Mus musculus: one gene and its partners. The protein of the gene in region 2 interacts with the protein of the main gene of each other region in a pairwise test. Links are inferred from orthologs where the notes say so. Each region holds a gene or a part of one and is shown on either strand. Other genes may lie near its edges.

Evidence for each region. The genes of interacting proteins can lie anywhere in the genome.
Region 1: the proteins of Tk1 (region 2) and Ptprk interact in a two-hybrid assay, tested with the Homo sapiens proteins (2 studies listed by BioGRID and IntAct). The link is inferred for Mus musculus from reciprocal best matches to the Homo sapiens genes TK1 and PTPRK.
Region 3: the proteins of Tk1 (region 2) and Tubb2a interact in a two-hybrid assay, tested with the Homo sapiens proteins (2 studies listed by BioGRID and IntAct). The link is inferred for Mus musculus from reciprocal best matches to the Homo sapiens genes TK1 and TUBB2A.

The regions. Positions count from the first base shown.
Region 1 is NC_000076.6:28,073,381-28,077,627, reverse strand, and holds the start of Ptprk (receptor-type tyrosine-protein phosphatase kappa isoform 2 precursor), read right to left. Parts: upstream 2,809-4,247; 5' UTR 2,548-2,808; coding exon 2,451-2,547; intron 1-2,450. UniProt on the Homo sapiens protein: Regulation of processes involving cell contact and adhesion such as growth control, tumor invasion, and metastasis. Negative regulator of EGFR signaling pathway. Forms complexes with beta-catenin and gamma-catenin/plakoglobin.
Region 2 is NC_000077.6:117,823,207-117,827,343, reverse strand, and holds the start of Tk1 (thymidine kinase, cytosolic), read left to right. Parts: upstream 1-1,329; 5' UTR 1,330-1,337; coding exon of another isoform or gene 1,338-1,394; 5' UTR 1,395-1,495; coding exon of another isoform or gene 1,496-1,564; coding exon 1,565-1,630; exon of another isoform or gene 1,631-1,711; coding exon 1,712-1,743; exon of another isoform or gene 1,744-1,841; intron 1,842-2,042; exon of another isoform or gene 2,043-2,132; intron 2,133-2,562; coding exon 2,563-2,673; intron 2,674-4,137. UniProt on the Homo sapiens protein: Cell-cycle-regulated enzyme of importance in nucleotide metabolism. Catalyzes the first enzymatic step in the salvage pathway converting thymidine into thymidine monophosphate.
Region 3 is NC_000079.6:34,075,201-34,079,283, forward strand, and holds the start of Tubb2a (tubulin beta-2A chain), read right to left. Parts: upstream 2,809-4,083; 5' UTR 2,730-2,808; coding exon 2,673-2,729; intron 1,458-2,672; coding exon 1,349-1,457; intron 1,089-1,348; coding exon 978-1,088; intron 329-977; coding exon 1-328. UniProt on the Homo sapiens protein: Tubulin is the major constituent of microtubules, a cylinder consisting of laterally associated linear protofilaments composed of alpha- and beta-tubulin heterodimers.

The DNA of each region.
Region 1 (4,247 bases), on a different chromosome or scaffold from region 2:
CTGAAAGTGTTAAATGTGTGACTGAGACACACACAGAGATCCAATGTATATATGACATACACACATTCCCAACTACACTATCCTCCCAAATGTGTAGTTATGTTTCCTACATTAACAGCCACAGAGTACTCCTGGAAAGTGGTGAACCACCCTTGGTGATCATGTTATAAAATGCATATATAGTAGGATGAAGTACTTTAGAATTTAGAAAATATGTCTCTTCAGCTCTTTAAAGCATGTTCATTTAAATGCCTCCAAAAGTTCCTCATTTAAAATAGAATAGTGGGAAGGGGGGAAGCAAGGAACAAAACAAAGCACTTCCAATTTCTTGTCCCTAGTCAATGCTTTTTTTTTTTTTTAACAAATATGCCATAGAGTTTAATGGCATTACAATACCAAATGATTTATGACAGCCAGAAGAAAAGAGATGTCTACAAAAACCAACTTTCAATCTCTGGAGAAAAACAGATAGGTGCGCAATCTGACTTTAAACTCAAGAGATAAAAGGCCTTCATTTGTGGGCAAACATAAGGATGAGAGCCAGATCTGTGGAGCCTGCATTCATTATAAACTCCCAGAAACAAATCTGCACAGTGTGATGAGGCACTCTCGGTACACAGTGATTAAATGATAAATAACATTTTTAAAGAGAAAAAATTCTCACATGTTGAAAATCTATCCATCAGCTGCTAAGACATCACTAGTCTCCAGTTCTAAATACATGTGTTTAATCATGTAACTGGTAAAGTTCAATTAACAAATAACATGCCTCCTCAAGCAAGGCTCTCCGTGAAGCGACAAGCACCGTGTAGAAATCAATACTCCCTCCAACTTGCTGCATATAATGAGTTACATCAAGCATGGTTCCAATACTAACAGCATTGTATGGCAGAGACACTCGGTAACGCGGAAACCAGAAAATTAAATTAAGTCGTCGGAATTCATTGCATAGAGCTGGTGCCTTCTGCACACCACCCCACACACGGTCTTTCCTTTGCCTGCTACCATTTCATAGTCTCTGCCTACGAGGAGGATACACTCAAGCTCCAGACTCCGAGGTCTAACTCCTAAAGGGGAGGGGGAAAGAAAAGCTAAGGGACGATTTGCTCCGGAAAACATCATGGTGAGTGTATTTCCAGGAAATCGAGCAGTCTCAACAATGAAACTATCAAGTACAAAGTAAGTTCTGTCTTCCCATCCTGCTGGTTCAGCCAGGAGCGCGGCTGTCGCGTTTCCCGTCACCCTCTGGCCACTCTGTGTTTCCACAAACACTGGGAACCAAGGCAGCAGCGGATGCGCCCTCCAACCTTGCTGGGCTGGGTGGGTTAACCAGAAAAGTTGTAAAGCCTTGTGGGAGGCAGAGGCTTAAACCTGGGAGCCCGCTCCCCAGCGTCCACCTGGTGAAACTTCAGAGCCGGCAGATACATAGAAGCCAGCGACCTACAGGCAGGATATCAAAACTGGACGGGAACAGAGACCACCAGTCTGAAAGACCCGGAATCCTGGGACTTATCTGAGCGGTTTTACTTAGAACTCAAAGGGATAGCCTGGAATATCGCATCACGTCTCACTCCTGGGTTGTCCAGGAGAACAGCGAACGTTCCCAGCCCAGGTCACCCAGGCGGACTCAGGGTGGTGTGGAGCCAGATTTGAGCTTTGTGGTGGCTTCGCCCCATAAATAGGGTAAGCCTTCCGGGAATGGGAGCCCAGAACTCGCTGCCCAGGACAGCTCTGAATCTACCCTTAGAGCTACATTTACAAACGTCGTACGGACTCTGCCAATGTATACATACAACGTGCTCCACGCTGTGTGCTCTGTAATCTATCCAGGAGCAACTCTGAACCCTCAGCAGAGGAGGAAGGAGCCTCCAGGAGGCACCGGGAAGTAGCTGGACAATAGTCAGAGGCGGTTATACCCGGGACAAAAAGCACCTGGCAGAACACACCGAGATCGGTCCCTATGTGTCTCCACAATTCTCACAAAGACTTCCCGGGGAAATTTTGAACAGTCTGGCGACAGAGAGCCACTAGCCAGCTCAGCGAGCCATAAAATCGTGGTCCCGGGAGCCCTAAGTACTTTTTCTTCCTCACTTCCCTAACTAATGCTGTGGACTGCTCCCGACTCCCAGGCAAAAAGAACACCCAGGAAAAGCAAGGTCGCCACACACTCCATCCAGCACACCCTGGGCTGTCTGCGCGCCGGACTAGCCTCAGAAACAATGGGTCGAGAACGTAAAAGTTACCTGCGCACGGGGGCGCACAGCTCTTGGCCCTGCGTCCCGCCTGACACAAACTCCCAGGACAGACCTAGCTCCAACCTGCACCACCACCACCCCCGCCACCTTAAGCGGACGCCCCCTGGATCCCCGAACCCAGCACCAGCAATCAGTCAGTCCTTCCTGCCTGAGTCCAAGACTGTGGACAGACACAGACCACCCCCAACCTCTCACCTGCTGAGAACTGGCCAAGGGCCGACCCCAGGAGAGGCCACGGGTACAGAAGCCAGAGAGCTACAAAAGCAGGCAACGCAGCGGCCGCCACATCCATGGCGAGTTTGGGAGAAGTTTCAAGCAGCTTTGCAAAGAGCCTCCGGGGGAATCGCGGTGAAATCCGCCAGCCAGCAGCCCGCCCGGCCTCGTCGGGGGGCTCGCGGAGACGCCGCGGCCACCCGCCAGCACTTTCGTCCTTGCGCAACGTCGGCCAACTACCTCGCGGGCGAAAGCGTCTCCAGCGTCGCCCGCCAGCCGCGGCCGCCGCTCTCCATGCTAGGCAGAGGCTGCTCAGGGTAGTCCAGAGTTAGTTTGCTCTGGGAGGGACGGGGGCGGAGCCTGGGGTGACGTCGCCCCGCGGGCTCCGGCAGCTTCGGAGGAATGCGGGCTCCGGTGCGCGCCGCCGCCACTGCCGCCTCCTGCTAGGGAGACGCGCGCCAGCCGGGCCGCGCGCCCCGCGCCCTGCGCCCCGCGCCGCCTTTGTTCGCCACCTGGGCTCGGTGGCCGCGCGGCTCTCTGGCGGCGAGCGGGAAAGGGGGACCTGGCGCAGCTCCCTGCCGGATCCCTGAGATTCAACTCTGAGAGGCAGAACTGTGGGCGGACGACGGAGGAGGCGCCCGAGGAGAGGTGTCCTGGGGTTCTGTCCCCAAGGTGGCGGTCCCACCAGAGCGGCTGGTGGTAGGAAGAAAAGGGAGCGTAGATGTGACCTTTAAAACGCCGACCTGCACTGAAATTTCACTCTTCCTTATTGATAGGATAAGGAATAAGGCTCCCTACCCCATTGAAAACTTACTCTCGTTTGTTCACGAAATAAATAAAACTTGGACCAAAATAAAATGTTGGGTAAGTTTCCAGTGTGAACAGCTGGCGTGCCTCGTTTCTGGTTTATTTGTCATTGGGAAGCTCCCAGCCGCTCAGCCTTCGCATAGCCTGGTGGAGTAGAGCAAGACTTGGTTTTGTTTTGATTTTTACTGTCTTGTAGCTATATAAGAAATAAGTATTTAATAAAAGGAGTTTATCCCAACAATGAGCACAGCATGGTTGCTCCGAAGGAACCCAATGCTGTGTGCTGTGTTACAGGCAGGAAGTCAGTTTTGCTACCTTAGCAGCTTGGTGTGATTTCTCCAAATGCCACCTTCACTTGCTTCTGTAGCAACGCTGTATAGTTGCTTACTTTTACTCATGTCTGCAAATTATGACACATGTAAGTATGACCAAAACTGAATAAGCCTAACTTTTTTTTTGAATTTTGATGCTATATATGCAACTGCTAATAATAGCCTTGATTGGCACCTGTCAGTCACTCAAAATGTCTTTAGCCTTTTAAAATCAAAATGAAGTGAAATTCAATTTAATACAGCATTCTCATCATTAACCGAGCCACATATTTCTGTAATTAATACATGCTGTTATGACTAGGTTTGGAATAGATGCAAGTGACTGTATACTACACACACACACATCTATGCACATATATTATACATATTGATGAAGAAGGGAGAAAATGGGTTTCTTTTTTATTTGCTGAGGATAGAAAGTCCGTTACGCTACAGCCTTGATGACTGCTCATTAGTACCTGTAACAAGCCCAACACTTGTCAATTCAGTTCAGCATAGTTCAGTCATCTCCCTCTGGGTACAATGTCAATGTTCCTTAGCTCATTAACCTATAACTTTAAGCACACTCTACCAAGGGTCCTTATTTCGTACACTAAAGAGCTTTATTAGATCACAGGTAACCAAAAACCTATTATTTTCT
Region 2 (4,137 bases):
GATGCCCACACTTAACACAGAAAGCCAGGAGGACACAGGTTCCTAAGCCAACACAGGAATCCTGAAGACAGTGAGTGCGTCTTCACACTGAGGCCTGGGGCTGGGCACCTTTGGCTCTCTCCAGCTGTCTCTAGCCTTGCTCTTCTCGTTGATATAATGGGGGTGCTAGACGCCCACAGGGTTGGAAGGGAGGTGTGTAAGAGAAACAATGTAAGCCCCTTGCTCAAACACAGCTGCCTCTGCCTCTTCCTGTTGAATGTTCGTCTTACATGCTATAGACCCTTCTCGTTCCGGTTGGTACCTGCTGGATGCTAGGGGCCTGGCTAGGCATCATCTTTTTTTTTTTTGTCGTCTTTTTGTTTTCTCATCTCTTGTAACTGTGTAGCTGCCTCGAGGATCAAGTGCTGAGATTACTGACATGTGCCAAAAGTCTTTTTATTTCCTCTTTAAATGTGTGTGCCTGCAGTCCCTTCTGGAGCTGGACGCTGTGAGCTGTCTTGATGTGGGTGTTGGAAATCCTCAACTCTGCGCCTCCGGAGGAGCTGTGGATGCTCAACAGCCGAGCCATTTCTCTAGCCCTCTGCCTTCATTTTTACTATTAGGATTTATGATTGATTGTATTTTAAAGTTTATTTTTTGTGTAGTCCTGGCTGACCTGGAACTCACTCTGTAGACCCGGCTGGCCTTGAACTTAAGTCACCTGCCTGCCTCTGCCTGGAATTGAATGCTTGAGCCACCCCCGAGGACACATGTTCCTAACTTTCAACAGATTCTAAGTGATGTCTGTCTGTGACCAAAACAAAGAAGCCTGTTTAATACAAGCTAACCAGTCAAGAAATCCTAGTGGAATGGTAATTAACTACAGCAAGCGCCAAAATGTGTTGTCCTGCTTTGTGTATGCCTTTGGTAACCCTTGCCGCAACCAATGGCAGACAGAGTAACCAAACAAATTCCTGAGTGAGAAGGTTTCTGGGCATGCTCGGTGTGAGCCATAGGAGTTTTAGCATGGGAATTCTGAAGCCGCTCAATACAGTCTGTCCCTGAAGGTGCCTGCCTTACTTTGCGACTCACAGCAAGGACCCCCAGCCTTGGCACCTTCCAGACTGTAGTTACAGAAACACAGAATCACACTGCACAACCTCAGAGTAAGGTCCAAACCCTAAGCCCCTTAGTTCCTGCTGGAACTTGAGTTTTCGCTGTCTTTAAAACCAGGCTAACAAGCTAAACCTGCTCTATGACGAGAAAAATGAAGAAATCTGGCGCTCAACGCTTGGAAATTTGGCTTGTGGGCATCCTAAAATTCCAGTCCCGGCTCTGGGCGGCTGCACCACACCTACCTCCGAAGACAAGTTCCTCCAGGGATTCTGGCCCGCAGAAAGGGAAGGAAACGCCATGGCCAGATCCGGAGGGGATGGTCGAGCTCCAGGCTTTTCACGTAGCTGAGAGGTGGGACGAGTCTTGTCTTCGTCCCGCCCCCTTTTGAGTTCGCGGGCAAATGCGAGCAGTAAGTCGAAATTTTTCCACCCACGGACTCTCGGTGCTAACTAAGGTTTGCACAGCAGCCATGAGCTACATCAATCTGCCCACCGTGCTGCCCAGCTCCCCCAGCAAGACTCGGGGGCAGATTCAGGTGCGGGGTCTGGAGTGGGGTCGGGTGGTGGCTGGTGCGGGGTGTACAAGGGGGAGACCCCTTAAATGACTTCTCTTCTAGGTGATTCTCGGGCCCATGTTCTCAGGGAAAAGGTAATGAATGGGCCTTCGGGGCGGTGGGCCTCCCTCTCTCTCTGCAGCCTCTCTCTCTGCAGGCCCTGGCTCTCCTCTCCCCCCTCCCCCATCTTCCCAGGAGCCTCTGACTAGGCGGCAAACGCGCTCGACCTCTGTGTGTACATTCCCGCCCAAAATTCGATTTCCTGGATTGCTGCCATCCTCCTGCCCAAGCCTTTTCTCTTGGGGAACCCTATCTTTGCTGAGGCGGACCACATGGGGGTACAATTGAAGACCCCAGCCCACATTACCCAGGAGCCCACCGAACTCTCATGTGTCCCCTGGGAGTTAGGCACCTTCTCTGACAGTTTCCTCATTCATTCCCCATGCGAGCTCTCCTAAAGCCTTGGAGCCCAATTAACTCTGAGGTGAGGGTCTAAACTCTGGGAGTCCCACCCAGAATAACAAACACACACTACTTGGGTTTTCTTTGCTTTATCTTGGGGTTAGTTTTTGTTTTTTTTTTTTTAACTCAGCGTCTTTATTTGTGGCCCAACTCAGAGATCCGCTTGCCTCTGCTGGGGTGCATCACCATACCAGGCACCTCATTATTTCTGAATGGTCTGGTGTCACCTCAATTTGTCCCTTGCCCCGAGGGTGAGGGCCAAACTCATGATCTGGGATCCAGAAGCAAGCTCTCTGGTGATTCTGTCAAAGACTTTGAAGTTCATTCATGAAAATTGAATTTTGTTCAGAACAGCATGGGGTGAACGGCTGCAGTTCCGGCTGCCCGACGCTAGGTGGTAGTGGCAGCCCGCCTTTTGCTCGGGCCTCATGTGCTCTGGTTAATTCTTGCAGCACAGAGCTGATGAGAAGAGTCCGGCGCTTCCAGATCGCCCAGTACAAGTGCCTGGTCATCAAGTATGCCAAAGACACGCGCTATAGCAACAGCTTCTCCACACATGATCGGTCAGTCCTACCCCTGAGCCTGCCCTTCGGAAACCCCTAAGCCTCGGGGCACACTGCTGCTAGCCTCTAGTGGATATGAATAAGTGCTCAAAACTTACTTAGAATAACCTGTCCCCAAGTGTCCATTGTACCCACGGAGGCTGGGAGAACCTGGGTCCCACTTGGGTAGAGGCTGCAGCCCTCTTGACTCCAGAGATATTTCCCCCCCTCTTTAGTTGGCTCTCTGCCATTAGGTAGCCGTCATCATTCTGAATTGTCTATCTATCAGCCCTTCCACTGGACATTTCCCTCTGAGCCCAAGGGTAGGTAGGAGTTCAAGAAAGTAATTTGTGCCTCTCGGGGTTGCTGGAGCTGGGCCAAGGGTGAGCAGCCTGGGGTAGAGCAGGTTTCTGAAGCGGAGCAGGAAGTGGAGCCGAGAACTACCAGGACTTGGGAGTTGGCCTGGGGATTCAAGCCAGGCTTCCTGCCAGACTCTGTACTGAGGTCTTTACAACTGTCTTTGTAACCACGGTGCCAGCGCTCAGGACGGGATGTGCATCCAGGAGGACCGAAATCAGAGGAGGCAACAGTGCCTAGAGTGGTGGCCACAGCTGGCTTGTTGCCTGTCCTCTCTCTGGTCCCCTCTACCAGGGGAGGGAAGAGAGAATTTAAGATGCCCGAGTGTTGTGTTGTGTTCTTTAGTTGGTTTCTTTTATTTTTTTCTGAGACAGGGTTTCTCTGTGTCGCCCTGGCTGTCCTGGAACTCACTTTGTAGACCATGCTGGCCTTGAACTCAGAAATCCTCCTGCCTCTGCCTCCCAAGTGCTAGGATTAAAGGCGTGCACCACCATGCCCAGCTTTGGTTGGTTTCTTAGGGAGGTGTGTGTTTGCACACAGGTAACCATACACCCGCGTTCAGAGGACAGCCTCGGGTTATAAGATCTGTGTTCCACACTCATTGGCCATATCTTTTTTTTGTTTTGTTTTGTTTTGAGACAGGAACTCTCTACAGACCTCTGGTTGCCCTGGAATTCACTCTGTAGACCAGGTTGACCTTGAACTCACAGAGATCCAACTGTGCCTGCCAAACGCTGGGATCAATGACATGTCCCACCACACCTGGCTCAGTATGCTCTCAAAGCAAGCCCTTTACACATTCAGACATCTCCATCCTGTTTTTGATTTGTTTAGGGTTTTTGCATGTAGATCTGCACGCTACTTGCTTGTCTGGTACCCTGGGAGGTCAGAAAAGAGCATCCGATTCCCTGGAACAGGAATTATAGATAATTGTCAGCTGCCATGTGGTTCCTGGGGGTAGAACCTAGGTCCTCTGCAAGAATGACAAATGATCTCTCAACCCATTTACTGAGGCAGGTCTCAGGTAGCATAGGTGGGTTATAACTTGTAACCCTCCCTCCTCTTCCTCCTGGAATTACAGGCTAGCAATCCCACACCCAGCCCACAACTCCTTCAGATCTATGTAAA
Region 3 (4,083 bases), on a different chromosome or scaffold from region 2:
ATGGAATAGGTTTCATCTGTGTTCTCTACCAGCTGGTGCACTGAGAGGGTGGCATTATAGGGCTCCACCACAGTATCAGAGACCTTGGGTGAGGGCATGACGCTGAAGGTGTTCATGATGCGGTCTGGGTACTCCTCTCTGATCTTGCTGATGAGCAGGGTCCCCATGCCTGAGCCAGTGCCTCCCCCCAGTGAGTGGGTCAGCTGGAAACCCTGGAGACAGTCACAGCTTTCAGACTCCTTCCTCACCACATCTAGGACAGAGTCCACCAGCTCGGCCCCCTCTGTGTAGTGGCCTTTTGCCCAGTTATTTCCTGCACCACTCTGGCCTGAAAGAGAAAAAGAGAATATTAGACAGTTAGGAATCCAGGGAGGTGTCCTTGGACTGTAGAGGAAATGGTAGAAGTGGCCTTAGAGAACATTCAGTAGTCTTTTAGATATACTTTTATGAGAAAGAAATATTGTCAGTGTATCCAGGGACCTCAAAAACCTTGAGGATCATAATAAAGAAAGAATCAAGGAAGAGGACACATTTTAACAATACTCAGTAGCTTCTAAACTTAAGCACAGAGAGCATTCTGTAAATACCCTTAATTAGGTATAATTAAAGAGGCAGGGAAGGCAGCTGTAAGCATTTGGGCTTCACCTTGGTCACTGAAGTGGTTGCCTGGCATCAGAAGCCCTTTGAAATCCCCTGCAGCCTGTAATGCCCTCTTTGAAGGCTTTCATCCCCTCCTCCCCTGCCCCCAGACACTGTTCCTCACAGAGGCCTTGCACAGCCTCTACCAGGCCCACACTCTCCTCTGAGCTGTCAAGAGTGACCACAGACATGATCTTGTCAGCTGCCTAGGTTAGGCCAGGACTTGTGGTCTGTGGGACACAGGCTCAGCTGGATGCTGCACACAGAACTGTAAAGCCCACGGCTGCTAGGAAGGGAGTGAGTCATCTGGCCAGCTCTCATGGAGCATCACAACATACCGAACACAAAGTTGTCTGGCCTGAAGATCTGGCCGAATGGTCCCGACCTCACTGAGTCCATGGTGCCCGGCTCCAGGTCCACTAGGATGGCCCGAGGTACATATTTGTTGCCTGTGGGGACAAGAGCTGACTTACAATTGGGCTTGAGAAAGGAGATGAATGTGGCAAAAGAATTCATTGCAGAAATCCCAGCATTGAGACAAAGGAGGAAAAAGAAAATGGAGACACAAAGCATGCAGAGGTCTTCAGGAATTATGAAGTGCTTTTTTAAAAAAAATGAATATGCAAAAAAACCATTTCCTTGTCTGCATGCTGGTAGGCTGCTTTCTCTGTCACGGTATGGAAAGCGAGACTGACATCCAAACTCTTACCAGCAGCTTCATTGTAGTACACATTGATCCTCTCCAGCTGCAAGTCACTGTCGCCATGGTAACTGCCAGTGGGGTCGATGCCATGCTCATCGCTTATCACCTCCCAAAACTGAAATGAAGACAATCCCACATCATGCTTAGAATCTCTCTGTCACCAGAAAGACAGCAGGGCAAGAGCCTAGTGGGCTGCGGGCCTCCATGTATTTGGGCAGCAGCTGCTGCTGCAGAGGGTCTTGGGAATGCGCAGTGCATCGGCCATATTATGACCACAGATGCAGGGCTGGGAGGAGCCTGGAGAAGGAAGTGGGCACAGCGGATCTCGCAGAACTGCAGAGGCAGCTGCTTTCTATCACTCCAGGCAAGGCTGAATGTTACACATACAGGCTGATGGATGGGAAAGGCAGAAGGGAAAATCAGGTGCCCCGCCCCCTGTGCCTCCAGGGATCAATGGCTGCTGGCACAGACTCCATGACAGCTTTCAACAGCCCAGTTTTATACCACTGACCTACATATTGGCTTCGGGTATTGACCCTGGCTAGGAATGTTCGGGGATGGGCAGTACAATCCTGAGAGGGCGTCTGGCAGCCCCGGGAAAAAGCTGGCCATCCTCAGGATGTAACCTCCATTGTGACTTGGCAGCAGGAAAGGGAGTGGGGAGGTTGGGTGGGCAATATGGCGGTGTTGAAAGAGACCATGTCCTTGTGCAGGCACCCGCCCACACCCATGTTAAATACCCATTGCTGTCTCCCCACTGCCGTCGGGTCTCACAGCCCCCATTCCAAGCAGTCTTGCAGAGAAAAAAGAGGACCATAATGTTTTATGTCACATCTAAACGAGCCCTTGTAAGAGAATTTGTCTAACACCCTCGTCTGTTGGCCCAAAGACACGCCTCTGTAACATCTGTCAACCCAATGACACTGCATTTTTTTCATTCAAATGACAGAAATATATATATATATATGAATTACATTTGACATGAGATTTTTTTCAATACATGTAGTGACCCCCCCAACCCAAATTTCAGACACGAAAAAAACCCAGACTAATGTCAGCTGCACCCCGCAGAAGGGCTGTGTCCCAAAGCAATGTAATGGACCTTAATTTAAGACACCCTTGTCGCACCAATCCTGGCAAGTTGGTCGGCTTTCAGGACCCGGCCCGCCCAGTAGCCAGCGGTGGAATGCGACACCAGCCGGGGCTCTTCTGGATCCCCTAGGCTCGGCCTGCTTCCGCGACACCCCCCCCTACCCCTCTCCCCACGCAACCTTGGGACCCTGACCGGATGGGACTACCTCATCCATTTCTTCCCTAGGGGTGAGCCCACCTTAGCGCCGATCTGGTTGCCACACTGGCCCGCCTGGATGTGCACGATCTCGCGCATGGTGCTGGTTGTAGAAGGGGTGGAGGCTCTTGCCCTCGGAGCAGTGCGTGGACAGAGGGCTAAGGAGCGCAAAAGACCAGTCGCCCTCCCCCAGCACCGCCTTTTATACCCGGGGACCGCCCAGTCCCGCTGACGTCATGGGGGCAGAGCCGAGGGGCGGCGCGGCTGGGACTGCGGCACCGCGAGAGGGAGCCGGGGCGCGGTGCGAGGTGCGGGGCACCCGCCTGTATCCAGCCTCCTAGGGTTATTACGCCCCCCCAGCCGGTCCTGCTGGTTTCCCCTCAGTGTCCACCTGAGGTGTTTGTCTACTGTCGAGACCTTTAGGTTACACTCTGGTTCTGCTCCCACACTGCTCATTTCCCACCACTCTGGGGACTACAGATGGGGCTCCTGCCTCCCCAGTAGCAGGACAGGTGTGGCCTCGCTCTTGGATATGAAGCCCAGAACTGAAAATGCATCTCTACTAGATGTCCTTTCTGAAAAAGGGTGCCTGCATCCTGGGCAGGACTTGAACTGCAGCCCGGTTCTCTCTTTCAAGTCTGCTTGGTAACTAAGGGCGAGTAGAAAGCCAGACGTGATACCGCTTGGGAGGAAAGAGGGGAGGATCAAGTGAGGGTCTGGACTGTTTCAAGGACGACAAGGATGCTATACAGGTCGATTGCTAGGTATAGAGGAGGAAGAGTGACGTTTTTCTGGTCTGGACTCTTGGGTCCTAAAAGCCTCTTAAAAGTCGAAATTTCTGCTCTCAGACACGTGTTGGAGCGAGAGAGCAAGGGAGGGAAGTGGAGGTAGCTAATATAGTGAGTGTGAGTTGAGATGCTGGTCTGAGAGAGACACTGGTTTTCATGGGCTGGGTAAGTTAGCCAAAGAACCTCACTGACAAAAGGTCACAGTGATCACGTTTTGGACACAGTGCTTAAAATATATTTGTTAAATGACTCACTTGTTTTCACTTTTAAAAATGTGATAACCAGGAAAATATAAAAACACGGTTGCAGCCCACATTCAGGGCTCACATTTCCTTCTCTCGGCTAGTACTGTCTGTCCCACAAAAGGCATCAACACTACCCAGATTCCTCCCCTCAGAAAAGCAAGGTTTAAAACCTGACCAGCTACAAATTGAGGAAGCCCGAGAACCTGCAGTTTTTCTATTAGCAGAAACCCTAGGCTTGGCGCTAGGACTGGTCCACCAGGAGTTACTCTTCGTTGGTCTGGCACAGTGGAGGGGTAAACAGGAGCTTCCACCAGTTCCTCTCGGGAGCCAGTTTCTTCAAATACTAAATAATTATAGGTGCCGTGGAGCTGGCTTTGTGAACAGGAAATGAGAAGGTGTATATGAAAGCAGGTTGAGTTT